Linked DNA regions of Danio rerio. The protein of the gene in region 1 purifies or fractionates together with the protein of each later gene. This does not show direct contact. Links are inferred from orthologs where the notes say so. Each region holds a gene or a part of one and is shown on either strand. Other genes may lie near its edges. The genes, in order: eif6 and bccip.

Region 1 (11,790 bases):
ATCTGACAGCGTTTTTACTCACAACATACAATATCCATGTTGCAGTGTTTCCTCTAGGATTTTTTCAGCTGTGGCGGCAGGCCTTACACAGATCTACCAACTACCTTATAGCTTTATTTCAATGACAAATGTTGTGAGCTCAGTATTACCAGTTGAGATCGCTTTCATGTAATGCGAGAATGCGAATCTCTTGGCTTGCGCGCTGATTTCTTCTGCTCATGCACAAAACGTCTTGCACACCCCCTCAAATATACGCTGCTCAAGCGCAGATCTTCTTGTGCGCTCTCAAATAAACGCTGCTGAAGTGTGATTTAGTGCATTTATGTAACAAGTATGTCTCCAACATTTATTAGATTTGGTGGGAATATTTATAAATGTCTCCAATAGACCTACAGAGTGGCATTAATGCATCCTATAGTAAAGTGAAACGGCAATAAACTCCAGCAAGATAAAGTCATTGTATGCAGAGTCACAGACCTATATCTATAAATAAAGTATAATTATGGAAACTGTGTTCATCTTAACTGAAAACTACGTCGTGTTTGCTTGCATCACGCACCTGTCAGTCAGCAGCACCTCATGTCACCTTAAAGGGTTAAAAATGACGCACCGAACTACTACGATTACAGAAAAGTTTGCGCAGTTATAATTCCTTACCTTTAAATACGTTTTGGTGCGATTATAACTTGCTATTAAAAAAACAACAACAATGACTGAATGTTTTGAATGAGATGCAGTAATGTAGCCATGGCGGGATAAATTTTGTGTGTATGCAAAAACCATGTATTGTGTGCAAAATTTGTGCTGTCCGTAATTGTACTTTTGTGCATACAGGTCAATTGAAGACCATAATCTGTTCACCCTGTAAATCTGATATTGGCCACATTTATAACAACAGTGTGAACAGCTATGCAAAAAAAATCTGATGTGAGAAAAAGACAGATTTGAGCACTAAGCCTTGCAGTGTGAATGTAGCCTAAGGCTTTATCTATTAGCCAATTTCCACTGAGTGTTACGTTATTACGATTTGGTATGATTTTATGGCCATTTCTACTGTCAAAAGGTACCAAAAAGCGAACCGTACCATATCACTTTTTGGGTGCTTTTTCCAAAGGGTACCTAGCACAACAAAAGTGTACCAAATGATAGAGCAAGACGTGCAGCTGAATGCTATTGGTTTACACAGAAATGTCACAAGCATGCAACAAGCCAGGAAAATGAAAACAAAGGAAGCAACATTTTTAAATACACAGCCGAGACATTACACCGTACTAATATATACATATGATAATCAGTGGCGTAGAGCAAAATGCAATTGAAATGTTTTTCTTACAAAAACAAATTGATCTGCTTCATAAAACATGTATTAACCCAATAACAACATATGGGATAGTTTTACAATGGATTTATGCACCTTTGAAAGCTATCCAACACCATTATACAGCATGGAAGAGCCAGGATAACATTTACAACTACTCTGACACAGTTTGTCTGACAGAAGAAAGTCATATACACTGTGGAAAAAAGAAAAAACAATTTACTCATAGACTTTGTAAGACTTGTCGTAGCATTTATATACAACAACTGTCTGATGATTTTTTGCTAAATTTATAAATGTAGAGGATGGCTTGAGAGTGAGTAAATTATGGCAAAACTATTGCTTTAAATGCATAAACAACACCAAACCCATTTAAGCAGCATTGAAACTGCAACATCTCCACTTCGCCAGCGTCCCGCACTAAATTTGGCACTCACTCGAAGGGAAATTGTCCAAATGTCTTTTCTCTTCTGCAACATCTTCAGTACCAGTTAGTGCAGGATATCATGAAGCGCATGTCGTCTACCTTTCTGGTGCCCATTTGGCATTGGGGCAGGTCAGGGTGAGGATCCAGTCGGTCCTGGGGATCAGTAGTACCGGGTTCAGTTTGGACACTGGATGAAGATACTTCACCTTGGCTTGGCAGATTTCCTGTATCCCTCTGTCTCTGGTCAAGAGCAGCCATATTGGTGCTATGATTCGAGGCCATTTCTTAAATAAAACACAACAGATTAAATTTAGCTTAAAAAATTAGATACCACTTTAAAATGCTTAATTTTACCAGATTTACTTGTTATAGCTTTGCCTTTGAGTAAAATGTTTGTTTTATTATGTCTGGCAAGATTTTCTCCAATTTTCTAATAATTATATTGTAATTTAGAACAAAAAATAATTGAGCAAAATAGATTTTCTTTTCTTCTGATTGACTTCTATTGACTTCTTAACTTTCCGAAGTTAAACAATTAGTAATGTGTTGCTCAAAAATGAATAACAGGTCTAAAATATACAGTCCTTTTTGTTATTTTGACCAGCTTTAAGTATTTATTTTACACTTTTTATTTACATTTTTATAATTAGCTATGCATTTTAATTCAATAATTAAATAACAATTTATTTGAATTAATGACAATTTAACCTTGGTGTATTATCTAAAAATACCAAACCCCCAAACCAAAACCAAAAAGTACATTTTCCCATAAGGATAAAAGTTTTGAACAGTGAATAGAATACTATCGTTAATACATTGTTGAGCCTCACACCATAATGTAGTGGTGTATGTACAATACTAAAATAAATGTAAAGCAGCCTCCTTGTATTTATTGCAAAAAGTAAACTTTATCAACACCATCTTTTTTTTTTTTTGTTAAAAAATATTTGCTGGATAAAATCTGTGGATATTTATTTCGTTTACTGAGGTAAACTCGGTTTTATATTCGCATATTAAGACTTTGGTGTTTAATAAAATAGTGATGCAGAATGTTAAAAGACTTCAAAACAACATTACTCTATTTAATTAATTGTGAACAATGTTGTACTTTGACACTCAATGGCTGCTAATATTATTTCCCCCTTTAGTATAACGTAACTTTTCTGAAATTATATTAAAGTAAATGTCCAAATATGTAATATGAAACCAACTTTACCTGAACCTTTAATTGAATTTCTAATATGATAACGTTATATCTGTGGTAACAGCCACACTTTCCTCCAGCAGACAGCTATGCATTGAGGACGGAACAAAACCTACAGAAGCAGCAGCACTTAGAGAGCGTTTGTCAGCGTGACTGGGACAAAAACAGATCAATATTGTGTGTTAACGAGCCGAGACACGTCAGGACTTTACCGCACACCGGCTCCAGCCCCCGGAATCCAGCGTTTCACCGATTAGTTCGCGATGTTTCCAGGCAGAAAACGCAGGGTGGACGGCGAGGGTCACGGGCGCGCGCTGCTGCAGTGACGTTTTAGCTAACGCTCTGGAAGTGTCAACAAACGTGACGTCACGCCGAACTTCAATGCCGATTGGCTGAGAAATCCACATTGACAGGAGAGGCGTGTTTTGTTGCTATGCAGGTTTGTGGTTGGGGACAAAAACACGAGTTGTTGCTAGAAGGGATACAGCTGCAGCCGAAAATTAACGACAATTATTTACATAATTAATTAAATTATCCATTAATCGTGTTTTATTAACGTCTACCCCGACCCTCACAGTAATGTAAAACAGTAATTATAACGAGTAATATTTATATTATTTATTAAATTATCCATTAAATTGTGTTTTATTAACGTGTACCCTAAACCCAACCCTCACAGCAATGTCAAAATATTGGTTATTGTCGACAAAAATTATTGTATGCTATATTATATGCTATATTGAGGTGAGTATCCACAGCTGTATACCTTCTAGACTTTGCCCGGTGACAGGGCTGGCCAGTCTGAGTCAGCGTCTGTCTATAAATATATAAATGTGCTAATTTAAATAATAATAATAATAATAATTATTATAATATGTGTTTTTGTTTAATTACTTAATTTTAAAAAGTATTATGCTGTGGAATAGAATATTGTACAGCAAAAGTGACTAAAGGGATTAAGTATTTGTAGGGATTGTAAATATATGTTTTATTCTTTATTTTTGTTTGTTTATGTAGGGTAATTATTATAATTGTATATTTTTTCATCTTAGGTTACACTGTAATTAAAGTTATTGTAAAGCACTATCATTTTAAAAATGCATGTAATTAATAATAATTACTCTAATCGGGTTTATTCATTTCTTTATGTTATTTTTGTTTGCTGCGTAAATTAATAATTTAATATATTGTATTATTAATTATTATTATTTAGTTATAATAAAATTCAAAAACATTTTTAACAAAGATTAGAATATTAAATCATTTAAGATATTTTGGTATTAATTATTAAGTAAAAGGTTTGAGTAACGTTAATATTTATATATTTATCATATATTAACGAGGAACTCTGTCTTTAACATTTAAAACCCAAAACATTATTCTGACGTAATACTTATTTAGTTTTATTAGTTACTATTTATTTATTTTTTTGTTTGCAGATTAATTTAATAATGTGTTGTGTTGAAATATACTATCAGATCATACAATTTTATAATGGTATACTAATATTTTATTTATTCATTCATTTTCCTTCGGTTTAGTCTCTTTAGTCATCAGGGGTCGCCACAGTGGAATGAACCGCCAACTCATCCAGCATATGTTTTACACAGCGGATGCCCTTCCAAATGCATCCCCGGTCTGGGAAACACCTATACACATTCATTCACATTTCACACTCGTACATTATGACCAATTTACGTTAGTTAAAACTTTAAAGTTATTCAATTCACCTGTAACGCATGTCTTTAGACTGTGGGAGAAACGGGAACATCTGGAGGAAACCCACGCCAACACGGCGAGAAAATGCAAACTTCACACAGAAATGCCAACTGACCCAGCAGGGACTCGAACCAGCGACCTTCTTGCTGTGAGGCGACAGTGCTAACCACTGAGCCACCGTATCGCCCAGCAACATTGCTATTATAATAAAAAAACACGTTTGATGGTTTATTATATTTTATAATTATTACAAATAAAAAAAATTATAATACGGATACAAACATTTATTATTTAAAGATCAAGGCTCTAACGTGATACTTGAGAATCAAAACAAAGAAAGTAGTGTTTCCCGTGACAACAGGGGCTCACGTATGACGTACCACAACGCTTTGACGTTGCCACGTTGAGGAAGTGAGGTAAACTAAACACGTGGTAAACGGCTCGTCCACGCTTCTCCATAGTGACATTCGGTAAATATACAATTACTCTTACAATTAAGTTTAATTTTATTGTGTAATGACGTTTAGCTCATAATTTGTATTATTACCCGCGTCGTCATTCGAGGGTAGAGAATTGTTGGCGTTTAATGTCTAGAGAAGTTGAAGTAACTTCATTTAGCCGACTGCTAACCACCTCGACCAGTGGCTATTCAGTGAAAGTTACTTAAAACGCGTTAAACTCTGAAGTTTTGCTGAAAATTAGGTTAGTCTTGCTTCTCTAGACACGACATATTTTAAAATGTTGTCAAACGTTTGACTCAGTTACATAAAAATGTTCCTCTCACTCAATTTATAACGTTACCCGATAAGATGTTAGTGAAGTTTACCCTCTGTTGACTTGAGGTGAGGTTGGTTTTATATTCGCGCATTCATTAAGTGACAACCTTTGACACGCTTATTATATTGTTGACCGTGGTAGTTTGAATATTTAGTCTGAAACAACATGTAAATATGTCTTTAAAACAACATTAGCACTATTTAATTGACGGTGAACAGTGGTGTACTTTGATAATTATTGGCTGCTAATGTGATTTAACTATTTAAAATTAGCAAAGAATACTTAACTGAAATTATATAATCAAGGAGAACGTCCGAATATGTGAACATAAAAAAACAACCTAACCTTAATCTCTGTTGAGCCTAAACAAACTTTCACTTTTCATCAAATAACCGTTATTATTAGTTGTAATAAAGTGTTTCTGTGTTCAAAGTTTTTTTTTAACTATATAGCCCTAAAATATTGTTTTTCCACCAGATTCAGACAGCTTCCTCCAGATCAGCAGAATGGCAGTTCGTGCATCATTTGAAAAGAATAATGAAATTGGATGCTTTGCCAAGCTTACTAACACATACTGTTTGGTAGCAATTGGTGGTTCAGAAAATTTTTACAGGTAAATCTTAAATTGTATTTCTATAAAAAATCTATCTATCTATCTATCTATCTATCTATCTATCTATCTATCTATCTATCTATCTATCTATCTATCTATCTATACAGTTGAAGTCAAAATTATTAGTGCCCCTCTGTTTATTTTTCACACCAATGTCTGTATAACAGAGAGGTTTTTGCAACACATTTCTAATCATAATAGTTTTAATAACTCATTTCTAATAACTGTTTTTATTCTATCTTTGCCATGATAACAGTACATAATATTTGACTAGATATATTTCAAGACACTTCTATACAGCTTAAAGTGACATTTAAAGGCTTAACTAGGTTAATTAAGTTAACTAGGCAGTTTAGGGTAATTAGGCAAGTTATTGTATAACGATGGTTTGTTTTGTAGACTTATGAAAAAAAACAAATGCTTAAAGGGGCTCATAATTTTGACCCTAAAATGTTTTTTAAAAAAATTAAAAGCTGCTTTATTCTAGCTGAAATAAAACAAATAAGACTTTCTCCAGAAGAAAAAATATTATCAGACACACTAACAAATTCCTTGCTCTGTTAAACAATTTGGGAAATTTAAAAAAAGAAAACAAAATTCAAAGGGGGGCGAATAATTCTCAACTGTATATACTGTAGTGATTGAATAATATTGTGATTGTGATTATACCTGTTTGCTTTTAGTGTTTTTGAAGGTGAACTGTCAGAAACGATGCCCGTCATTCATGCCTCTATAGCAGGATGTCGAATCATTGGGAGAATGTGTGTGGGTAAGAACATTTATTTAATCCAGTTTCATTCATTCATTCATTTTCCTTCGGCTTAGTCCCTTTATTCATCACCTAATTTATCAATAAGATGTAATAAAATTTTCCCCTATAATAGTTCTCACCATTCATTCAATCAGTCAAATGTATATGCATATTAGCCATTATTTTATTTGTTAATTTTATTATTCAAGATACAGATCTGAAAAAGCTACTTCTTTCTATTAAAGGGCTGACCTCCCCATACGTTATGTTTTGACTTCCTTCAATGGGGATCAAGTGTTAATTAGGGAGGGGGGTCAACAAAAAAAATCTGCGTATTTATGCGGAGTGATTTTGGGAGTATCATAATTAAAAACTTAATATATGAAAGAGAAATAATACTTTTTAAAAACTTATTTAATGTTTACAGTGCATATTCAAATAGATCTACTTATTTAGTAAACAAAGCAAGTCTCTCATAATATATCCACTAAAAGACAGAACGTATGATTTTACTTACTGTATTGTAAATAAGTCATATGAACATTTTCATATTTATCAATAATATTACTTATAAGTAAATCTAAATGTACACACATTTACACAAGTAAACAAATAGACTCAATGATTAGCTGGAAATCTGTGGGCCTACATATCAGTATATTGTATTTCAGAAACAACCCTATTGCATTTCTTTGAATATGGTTATGATAACAAGAAATCAGTAGTTAATGATGAAACTTTACTGTTTCTATATCTACCTTGGTCACATTAGGTCTTGTTACCTCTTGTTTGATCAATAATAGATGTCGTGTGGTCTATGACGCTCTTCTGCAGGAAACCGTCACGGTCTCTTGGTGCCCAACAACACGACAGATCAGGAGTTACAGCACATCAGAAACTGCCTGCCAGACTCCGTGCGCATCCAGAGAGTAGAGGAGCGTCTTTCTGCACTGGGAAACGTCATCGCTTGTAACGACTATGTTGCTCTCGTTCATCCAGACCTTGACAGAGTAAGAACATCTTCAAACTTTAAAAGGATAGTTCAGCCAGGAATGAAAATTGATCACTATTTACTCTCCCTCAAGTGACTATAAAAATGTATTTCTTATGTCGAACACAAAGGAAGATATTTTGAAGAATGTTGAAAGCCTGTAGCCATTGACTTACATAGTAGGAAAAAATGAATACTATGGAAGTCGATAGTTGCAGGCAGTGCCGGCCCATAGGGTTCAGGGTCACCAGGCGAGATAAAAAAAACAAAAAACAATTTCAATATTTAAGTGTATAGATTTTTATTACTGTAACATTTAACCTATAATACATAAGCAAAAATATTTGCTCAGATTTAAATAAATAAGTTTGTAAGCCTGAAAACACTCATTTATTAGCATTGAGTATATAAGTATGACACATACAAATAAAACATGAATCAAATGCATTTTTTGTAAATGTATTACACAAATATATGCATAAATAACTCGAAATGCTGGAGATGTTTTAGCTTTTCATACAGAGATTTACACAAACAAAACTTTGTATTAGAGACTGGATAAGATTCGATTTTGACAAAATTACGGGAAACCCTGTTTTTTTCAGCAGGCTGAATTAGTGGGACAGATAATTAACTGATTATTTAATAAAACATGCTGAATGTGGCCGATTGGTTGCATTTGTAAAACACGTCCTAATACTGCACTACTAAATTATGTAGTGTGTATAGCAGAACACACAGTTGAATTCAGAATTATTCCACCCCTTTGATTTGTTTATTTTTTTAACATTTCCTAAATTATGTTTAACAGAGCAGGGAAATTTTTACAGTATTTCTTCCCATGATTTTTTCCCCTTTCTTCTGTTTAGACGCCATTTTATTTCAAATGAAAATTTGATTAAGACTTATTAAAAATAGCAACAACACTTGTGACAGTATATTACGTAAGACTTTAAGACACTTTTCAGCTTTATATTGATCGTGAGCAATTTGGAGAGATATGTGGAATCTGTGAAGGAATACGTTACGTCATTCTAGTCCATCCAATAGCTGATCCCAGGCGGTGTTATATAGTGTGGTGCTGCTTGATATTTTTCTAATATTTTCTGCTTATATTATTACTGTTGTTGTGTATTTACAATCATTTTCATTTATTTGTCATGTATGAATTATACAGAGCTATTCTTTTAATGAAATGTGGAGGTTATTTTTTTCCTCACAGTGAATTGTATCGTGTTTAATGGGGTTTGTGCAATGCGCATTATTAATGAATTTTTAAATGCTCATTCTTGCGCTTACGTTCACAGTAAATATAACATAAAAGCAGCACTTGTGGTGCCCTCCAAAAATCGGGGGCCCTAGGCTATACTACACCTATATTGCCTGTTGGATGCCTACTGGTTTAAAAAGACCAAGATTAAATGAAGATGGACAAATGAGAACTATTCTGCCATAAACTATAGTAAAACAACTTGTCAAAAAGAATAAAAAAATAAATAAACCCTGCGAAGAGACATAAAAAAAACTTCTTTTATTATCAGCTGTCAGTCAGCGCCCGCACTGAATTGACCATCAAGATCTGCAGTGTAAATGCAGCTGTAGTCATTGAAAGTCAGGAAAAAAAACAAGAAATTTGTAATTTGGCCTATTTCATATTTTGATTAAACAAGGAAAAAGTTACTTAACTAATTTAACTTAACTAATTAATCAAACTTTTTTGCAATTAAACGCAATAAATCACATTTAAAAGACTGAAACTTGTAATTTTGGCTATTCAAATGTAAAATTAATGTAAACACAAGATAAAAAACGACTTAAATTCAAAATATAATTGTTTATTATAATTTTTGTTTAACTTGTAACCCACATTTCTTCATGTAAACAACAAACTGTTGTAAAAAAATAAATGAATGAGTGAAAAAAGAGAAGAGAACCCAGTCCAGGAGACTCGAAACAAGCAGAATTCCTTTATTGAGACGTGTTGGTTAATCTGCAGTCATACAGCGTCTTTAAGATGTCCGTGTCTGCAAGAGCCTACTAGAGGACCGCAGTCTGCAAGTTCTTTCACAAGTCTGTAAAATAGTCTGAATTAAGACAAAGATTTCATGGCTATATTGTGTTCTTAGGAGGAGGGGATATAGCTAAACAAAGTATGCAAATTAAGAGTTGTGGTCGGCAGGGTAAACTGCTTTTTCAGACCTAATCTCATCTTGTTCTGGAGACAGAAACCGCCTGACCATTTGATCGAAAAGAGAAAACAATAGACACCCCATGCTGTGAAACTGACAATTTGCATTACATTGGCTTAGCCTGTAATCAGAAAGACAAAAGGTTAATGTCCTTAACTGGAATGTTAATGAAATTATATAATTAAAAACCAGAGAATATAACTTTTTAGTTATACGTAGATTATTGTTAATTTGAAATTAGATGATATAAATTTATATTTCCACAAAACCCACAATAAAACATCAAGATCCTGGCTTGACAGCCATATTTATTACAGAAATTAAAACACAGGCATGTTAATGCCATTTGAAATTCAAAACAATCAACACCAATAAAGAAAACCTTGATTTCCATGTTGGATTCTAAGTGGACTATAAAAAAATGCCAAAATACAGGCATTGCAGATATGGAAAATTAAAATAATGATAAAGTATTTAATACAAACAAACAATTGTACTCGTTGAAAAGTTGTATTGCTGATAGTTGAGAACACACACACACACACACACACACACACACACACACACACACATAAACAACACGCGTAGGACAGCACAACCGGATCGACTCTCTTCAGATTCAACATGCATGATCGCATTCATCAAATTTGCTTAAACTAAGCATTCTTAAGTTTGGCTGTATTTTACAAGAATTCTGACACAACAACGTGAAGCAGACGCTTTACAAAGGTTGCGTTTAAGGGGGAAACACGACAGAATGGGCCATCTTTGACAGCTCGCGACATCATCTGAGTTTCACAGAGTACATTTACATGGACACCAAGACTCTGATTTTAATATGATCAAGATAATACTCTTATTAAGAGTCCACCATGTAAACAGCAACTTTTGGTTCCCTTAAAGGACCACAGAGTCACGAAGTGCGGAGGTTTTTCTTTCAGTTCGGCATATGGTATCAAATTCCATTGAAACAAAAGTTGAAAGATTAACAATGAAACATACAAAATTAGATGAAACTCTAGAGGAAACGCTGGATAGCCTGGTGATGCGACATTAATTGTTTTAAACTTTACTTCGAGAAGTGCTTCCTTGGTCTTATCTATATTTCTTTGCATGTTGAACACACGTCCACCACAACAGAAAAAAAACTGAAACTGCGTTAATTGTGTAAAAAATGTTTTAATGTGTTAATTATTTCAAATTAATTACATGCGTTAACGCACTAATATTGACAGCACTGGTTTATATAAATGATTTTAATTTAAATTAAAATAAGCATTTCACATAAGAAAAATAAGTGAGTGTGTAATTATTATATATTAATCGGTCAAAAAACAAAGCACTTTTTTGTTTTTCATTGTCAATAAATGACAAATTAATCGATGCAAATGAACACAGATGGTTTTGTTTAGTTTTTCATAGTTGGTGTATTTATCAGAAATGTATTGGATTGTCCGCAGGAGACAGAAGAGATTCTAGCAGACACTCTGAAGGTGGAGGTGTTCAGACAGACGGTCGCAGAGCAGGTGCTTGTGGGTAGTTATTGTGCTTTCAGTAATCAGGGAGGCCTCGTTCACGCCAAAACATCCATAGAAGATCAGGACGAGCTCTCGTCACTCCTGCAGGTGCCTTTAGTGGTAAGTTGCTGACGCGTCATCACTGACAAGACCGTAAATCATCTTCACATGCTTCTGCACCATTACTATGTGTATATATATATATTTAAATCAAAAGTTTCAACGTGGGCTGAAGTTGTTGTGTTGGAAAGCCTCTCGAATGCTCTCATTAAATGTTCACTGAT
Region 2 (7,336 bases), on another chromosome or scaffold:
GGTTTTATGGCCGTTTCCACTGTCAAAAGGCATACCGAACCAAACCGTACCGTACTACTTTTTCAGGACCCTTTCGAAAAGGTCCCAAACACAAGAATGGGGACCAAAAGGCGGAGCTAGACGCGCAGCTGAACGCTACTGGTTTACAGAAGAGATGCGTCATTCACTTACAACAAGCCAGAATGTAAACAAAGGACCCGCCATGTTCGAAATACACAGCGGAATTATATATTCATATATCATCGTCCTGATGAACAGCCACACAGCCATGGAGTAGAGCAGGATCTACCCTGTACTTTGCAGTTGTTTTACGAGCCAGTCTGACGCGCGAGAGGTTTTGCTTTTCTTCCTTGCGCTTGCCACGCGTCTAACATTATATCTGAAATAAGAAACTTCTTGAGCTGATAATAATAATAATAATAATGTGCGCTTGATTATTGACAAGCTTTGGAAACCCGATCCTGTGAGAAGCTGACAAACGAGAGAATGACACATTCAGAAAGAAAAGGACAAATGCGAGAGTGGAGCGCGGGAAAAAAGCAGCATGTTATTTCTTCAGCAAACGTGATCAAACTGCCTTGTTTTAATTATTATCATCACCTTTTGGACTAATATGAACTGGGAATGATGGAATGACTCTCTATCAGAGGCTTCATGTGCTGCTGAAGATTACAGACACAGATGAGAGGTTTTCGCTGACTGTAGGTTATACTTTGTGTTGTTTTGAACCTAATTAAGAACGAGATGTCTGATGTTTGTAGTTTTTCTGTAGTTGGTAACATATCGGAGACTGTAAGGGGCCATAAGATTGTATTTGTACGCAACTACCACAGTCGCAGACGAACTTTTGTGAACAGGGCAGCACTGGCCTGAGCATCTATCACATTACATTTAATTATATTGTGGGCACTTCAGTGTAACTGTGACGCACAAACCCATTTTCATGTTGCATGGATAAATTAAAAATAACCAAAAATACTTCGTAATAATTTTCAGGAGCTTTTTTGATTTTCACCCAGGCTAAAAAGAGAAAATATAAAAATGTCGTCTCTTTATTGATCATGCATTCATGTCAGATAAATGTGTGTGCACTTGAAATTCTGAGAAAAGCTCAGTGGTGTTCTCATATTTTTGCAGGTTTGTTCAGATGGCGCCGCAGTATTTCTTCTGCAATCTTCCTCCTAGTGAAAGTAAAGAGATCCTGCAGAATATTCTGGACCGTGACAGAACCGGTATCCCTAAAGCAAAAACTCGACCAGAACCAAAGACAGAGACGCAGGAGAGCGAAGCACAGGAGCGATGTGTTTTACAGTAAACTCAGCGGAGAAACAATCATGTAAATATTTTCAATTGAAGAGACACTCATCGTCAATCTGTTTGGGTTGTTTATTATTATTTTTGTGGGCTGATTATGTACAGAATGAATAAATTATTTCACTGGTTTGGGTGATTTGTGGTCAAACTGGCCTGGAAGGTTAAAGTGTGTTCAGACGGTCAGATAATCAGTCATTTTCTGCATGATGGTGTCCATTCTGTCCATGGGGATCACCATCACTGTGCGAAACGGCTTCATTGGCTCGTCATCGTACGACCATTTCCCTGTCGCACACGAGTCCGCCTCATCCTGAACACAGTAGCTGAACTTCACCGTTGCTTGCTGTGGGGAAGAAAAAGAAGAAATGTTTAGATGAGGGGTCTCAAACTCAAATTGGCAGGGGGCCATTCCACTGACTGAAAATTTTTAGAAGGGCCACTTTAACATTCAAGCACAACAAAACATAAGGGGAAACCTGGGGTTCGTTCTTCGTAGGTGGATTCCTCGGTTAGCTGGATTTGGATATTGACGATTTGACACGATCCAGGATCGTTTCATTCATCAAAACTGATCTGAGTTGTTGTCATAGCAACAGTTCTGCTGGCTCAATCCTGGTCGGAAGCAGGTTTAATTCATATAATCGGCTCAGTTCAAGCAAAGATAATACAGAATGTACCGAATTCTGATATTTTCTTACAGTAGAAGTTATTTACACTTGGGAAAATACTAAATTTTTTAAACCTATATAAAGTTATAGTTATTAATAAAATAAATAATATATTAATAAAACTTATGCAATCTGCACCCCCAAAATGAAAGTGCAAAGAGAAAACTTATTGATATGAACTTTTTAGATCACTTTAGTACAATTTGTGTATGATACAAAAACTTTGCATACGCCAGGTTTCACGTTCACATTTGGATTTACTAACCATGAAATGAATGCGAGTATGTGCGTTGGTCCATGCCGACTTCATGTCTGGCGTACGTTTTATTTCAATTGGCGACTCCTAGAGGCAATTATGTTAAATTGCACACTACAAAATTCCTTTGCGCCGCGCAATGCCAGCTGTATGGGACAGGATCATCCGCATGTCTAGCACGTATATAAGGTTTCCATACCATGCTGTCGACAAGTCAAACATTAAAGTGCAACTTGCAGCGATCGCTGGTTTTTTCAATGTAATCGGAGCGATCGACTGCATGCACGGTGCTATAAAGGCACCACTTGAAGATGAATTTGCAAATTTTGTATTTTTTGTAAATTGCTTGCTTTTACCATTGCTTTTTCGTTGGGTTTTGCCAAGGTAGAGTTATTACCATATTCATACAGGGGAAGAGGCAGGGAGGGGTTTTGCACTCATGCATGTTGTGCTCAGTTTCACGTTAAGTCAAATGTATAAAGAGAATATGTGTGGGATTCCGCGTACGCAGTGTTTCATACATCTGAATTTTTCACTGCGTACACACATTTACAGCTTTGTGCGTACGCAATGTTTTAGTATGAATTCAACGCAAGTCTTCGTACATGAGGCCCCTGATTATTAAGCTCTGATGACTTTGACAAACAGAGCGTAATATAAAGAGAATGTGTGGCGAGTTTATGCTGAATTCAATGACGTCGCACCTAGGCTCTCCCCCGTGCTGCTGTTTTGAAGGCTGTCAGATGTGTGTGTGTGTGTGTGTGTGCGGTGACAACTCTCACGCACGCTCGTTACAATCAGTATTAATAATCTGATCAAACTGAATACAGTCTTACATCCACAACACATGGCAAGCATTGCATTGATAATAACAAATAATCATATTAGGTTACAAACAGCCCGACAAGTTGTTGGTTAGCACGTGCGCAGGGGTTTGGTGTGTGTGTGTGTGTGTGTGTGTGTGTGTGTTGTTGAAGCGAAGAGGGAGACAGAAACGAGCGTTTTTTTTTTTTTTTCGCAATGAGACTGTTTTCAGTGATGATTGGCACAAGTTACATGTGTCCTCGTTCATTCACCGGCTGCAACTAAAGGAGAAGGGAGTTAAGTTACCCTGGAGTAATAAGTGAATCTCCCCTAATATCTCTAACACAACAAAGACACAGAGCAGGAAAGGCTTACATATGTAATATCTTTTCCTGAGGCGATTTAAAGCAAAATACACAATGACACTCAATCAAACACATCTACAATGATGAGGAACATGGTTACTTACTGGGTTATTAACACTCAGCAATGCCACATAAAGAAAGGACGGGCTTTAAAGGAATAAACAGTGTGAGGAGAGATCCATTAGAGTGCACTGGGCAAGTCTGAACATGTTCCGCCTACGCGTGCGCGGCAGCCAGGTCTGTACAATTACGTAATTTATCGGTTTAAAGATATCGGCCTAATTTAGATATCAGCTTAATAACAATAATCTTAAAACTAGCATTTATTTGCCGATAACGCTATGGTGACATATCATGCATCCCTAATATATACATCTCGTCTTCTTTCTTTTTGTGTCATCGGCTGATCACTTGACTGCGTGAAACCAATCGAGGATCAAAACATGATCTCTCTGGACAGAAATTTAAAACGTGGACCAATCGCTCACTTTTTTAAATTTCTAATTATTTTGTTTAATCCCGCCCCTTTCCGCATTGCCGTACAACAGAATTTCGCAAGCTCAAACTAGAGTGTGACTGCTGTTTTACCCTGTTCCTGGAGATCTAGGCGGTGTCCGAAACCGCATACTTCCATACTATACAATACGCTAAAATCAGTATGCGAGCCGAGTGGTATGTCCGAATGCAAAGAATCCGAAAATTAGTATGCAAGAAAGACCCGGATGACCTACTACTTCCGGCGAGATTCTGAAGTGAACATCCCATGCACGCCGCGCTATCACATGATGCCCTGCGAGAGAATTCATGAATGGGAGTGAAGCGACGCAACTGACGCAGGTAGGTCACGTGACCATGATAAAAAGGCGGATGTAGTACATCCGAATTCCATTCATACTTTTCACAATAATACAGTATATAACACAATTTATTAATGGCCGAGTAGTACATTTAAATTCAAATGCAGTACCTACTGAGGAGGAGGAGGAAGAGGTTTCAGAAGCAGCCTTACTGTCCTGCAGATTTCAGTTGCAACCCATATCAAACACACCTGCCTGTAATTATCAAGTGCTGTACAGGTCAATTAATTGGTTCAGGTGTGTTTGGTCAGAGTTGGAGCTGAACTCAGTAGGAAGGTAGATCTCCAGGAGCAAGCTTAAGCACCACTGCTCAAGGGTTTAAACATTGAATAATTTTCATTTTTGAGTGAACTAACCCTTTAACCACTTAACCTTTCAAGCCACTTTTCAGACTTAAAAACTGACATATGCATATTAAATATAAATAAGTTTAAACCAAAAAAACTATTCGTTTCTTTATTCAGTTTTTGTTTTAAAAAAAAGAAAAGAAAAATGAAAACCTGTAACCATTGATTTCCATGGAAATACAATCACGGTGGAAGTCAGTGGTTACAGCTTTTGTGTAAAGAAAGTAAAACAGGTTTGGAACAAGTGAAGGGTGAGTAAAGGATGACAGAAATTTCAGTTTGGTTTGACTTCAGACATTAGTAAAATGTACCTCATAAAAGAACTCCTCCTCGTCATTCACGAACAGCAGCTCGTCTTTAGCCTGGTCTCCTGCAGAAATGCTCTTCTTCTTCAATGGCTTGCATGTTTTGCTGATCATCAGACAGAACTGGCATTTACCGCTGGGTTTATTGGTCCTTTGAGCTTCAGCCATTTCCTTCCTGCAGAACCACACAGAAGACAGATGATGATGATTATTATGACAATATACTTAAAATAATTTCTTTATTAAATTAATGACACTGAATTAAATGAAAAAAAATAGTGAATGTGCTGTTCACTTTATGATTAAAGTGACCCCTAACCCTAACTATGACAAATGTACATCAAAATATTTCACTTATTTCATACTTATTTTTTTTTTTTAAAGCTTGGGTATTCAGGTAATGGTCATCCCATGAAAATTCATTTACATATTAGACACACATATCATTTACATATACTTGGGTGGTATCCAAATTTTAATACCGTTAAACCTGCTCTCTATTTTACCCCAGTATCCGGTATTATCGTGCATAATTTAAAAAATTATGACGTAAGGCTCAAACAACATAATCAGACTGTTGGTTTCTGCCTAAACCATTCAGAAACTGAATACCAAATATGCAACCTTAGGTTTGCGGTCACCTGTTTGTCTTGTTCGTATTAGAGATCTGCGCAGGATGCTCTATCCCATTCTCACACACACGCAGAGAGAGAGAGAGGGGAACGCACAGCACTGCGCTCTCACATACACGACTCGCCACCTCCCCTCTCTCTCTCCTCCACATTGTCTAGTGATGACAATCATGCATATGCATTTGTAGGCATTAAATAAATAATTGTAATATTTGATACTTGTCTCCTATTTAAGTGCATTGTTTTTTGTTTTTTTTTATGACGGTATAACACCCTATTCACACGGGGCTTCAGGGTCAACGCTTGGCTGAAGGCGTTTGTGAAGCTGGGGCTAAAGCGATCGTCATAGCAGCGTCAGCCAATGAAATTCAGTCAGCAATAGGTCAATGTTTTGCTGGTGTATTTGATTACAGCGATATGATTGGCTGACGCTTTCGTCGGCGCTTGAAAAGTTGAGCTAGTCCCAACTTCTGCAGCGAGCAGCACCTCGGAAGTGGCGCCGACAGATCCACAATGCAATTCGGCAACGCCTGACGTCACCCATTCAAAGTGATTAGGAAGCATTGACACTGACGCTCCGTGTGAATGGGGCGTAAAGGTATTGAAACTGACACCGTTGCGATTTTTAGATCCTGTGGTATACCATATTACGTAGTGTATGAGGGTGACAGGCCGGCCGGAATGTGTAAAAAAAAAAAAAAAAGTCGTTATCATATGGACTTGTTCCAAAGAGCCGACCCCGCAACCATACGGGACTAAGGCCAAAGAAGAAGATATACATATATATATACACTTTTGAAATCATAAAATATATCAAACTAAAATGAAATCTGCACTGATATGTGGTAATAGTGAAGCAGGTGTGTGCGCTCCCTCTATTGGGAACTCTTACTGCAGTTGTTTGTGCAGGGGCAGAGCGATCTGCGGCGGGACGTTGACGAATCTCTCGCTCAGCAGGAGCCCTACAGACTGAGTGTTACCCTGCAGGAGATTCTCCATCCGCTCCTGCACATCCGGAGTGCTGCACTTCACACACTGATCCAGTATCATGTCCTTCAGCTTCTCCAGACACTCCACACCCTGATAAACAAACAATAATAATCACACTTTAAGCCAAATGTCAAATTTTCCAAGATACTCACCAATTAAAAAACTGAATTTGCATGACCTTTTATATTCCACATGCTTTAATATGTTCAAATAACTTAATATTAACTTTGTTTTAGCTTGAATATCATTTTGCATGACTTTAACAGCCACTACACTGTGAAATGCGAAATACTCATGCAAAATATGATATTCTAAAAACTCCAGTGGGATTGTTGTAACTCAGATCAATCCTACAGAAAGTAGAGTGTGTGTGTGTGTGTGTGTTATGATTGTCTGACCTGTCTCTCGGTGAGGTTCACCATACTGATGAAGCCAAACACCTCGTCCGGGTCGCCCTCATCATCACTGTCCTCCGGTACTTCAGCTTGCTGGAGCAAAACACACACATAAACTATAATACAGCAATATCAGAGCAGAACTACAGATGTTCATTATTACTGTTAGTGAATATTATACAAATGAGTTTTAAATATATTAAACATTTACAGTAGAGCTGCACGGTATATTGCTCAACATCAATATTCAGTGTTGCCAGATTGGGCGGTTTTGAAAACTGCTATTTAGAAATAATTTATTAGTTTAGAATATGTGAAATGATTCTGTAGGGAAGTGAATTATCCATAAAAATGTCAAAAAATAAATTAAAAGTAAAAATAAAAGTGAAATAAACTGTTTTAG

What was found.
Region 2: the proteins of eif6 (region 1) and bccip purify together in Homo sapiens (affinity purification with mass spectrometry; 3 studies listed by BioGRID and IntAct, counting the BioPlex papers as one, with this or other methods). This does not show direct contact. The link is inferred for Danio rerio from reciprocal best matches to the Homo sapiens genes EIF6 and BCCIP.

The regions. Positions count from the first base shown.
Region 1 is NC_133181.1:55,070,702-55,082,491, reverse strand, and holds the start of eif6 (eukaryotic translation initiation factor 6), read left to right. Parts: upstream 1-5,086; 5' UTR 5,087-5,510; intron 5,511-5,922; 5' UTR 5,923-5,951; coding exon 5,952-6,058; intron 6,059-6,741; coding exon 6,742-6,827; intron 6,828-7,643; coding exon 7,644-7,819; intron 7,820-11,449; coding exon 11,450-11,626; intron 11,627-11,790. UniProt on the Homo sapiens protein: Binds to the 60S ribosomal subunit and prevents its association with the 40S ribosomal subunit to form the 80S initiation complex in the cytoplasm. Behaves as a stimulatory translation initiation factor downstream insulin/growth factors.
Region 2 is NC_133187.1:47,443,033-47,450,368, forward strand, and holds the end of bccip (protein BCCIP homolog), read right to left. Parts: intron 7,027-7,336; coding exon 6,937-7,026; intron 6,629-6,936; coding exon 6,441-6,628; exon of another isoform or gene 6,192-6,440; intron 6,079-6,191; exon of another isoform or gene 5,092-6,078; coding exon 4,923-5,091; intron 1,658-4,922; coding exon 1,487-1,657; 3' UTR 1,368-1,486; downstream 1-1,367. UniProt on the Homo sapiens protein: During interphase, required for microtubule organizing and anchoring activities. During mitosis, required for the organization and stabilization of the spindle pole.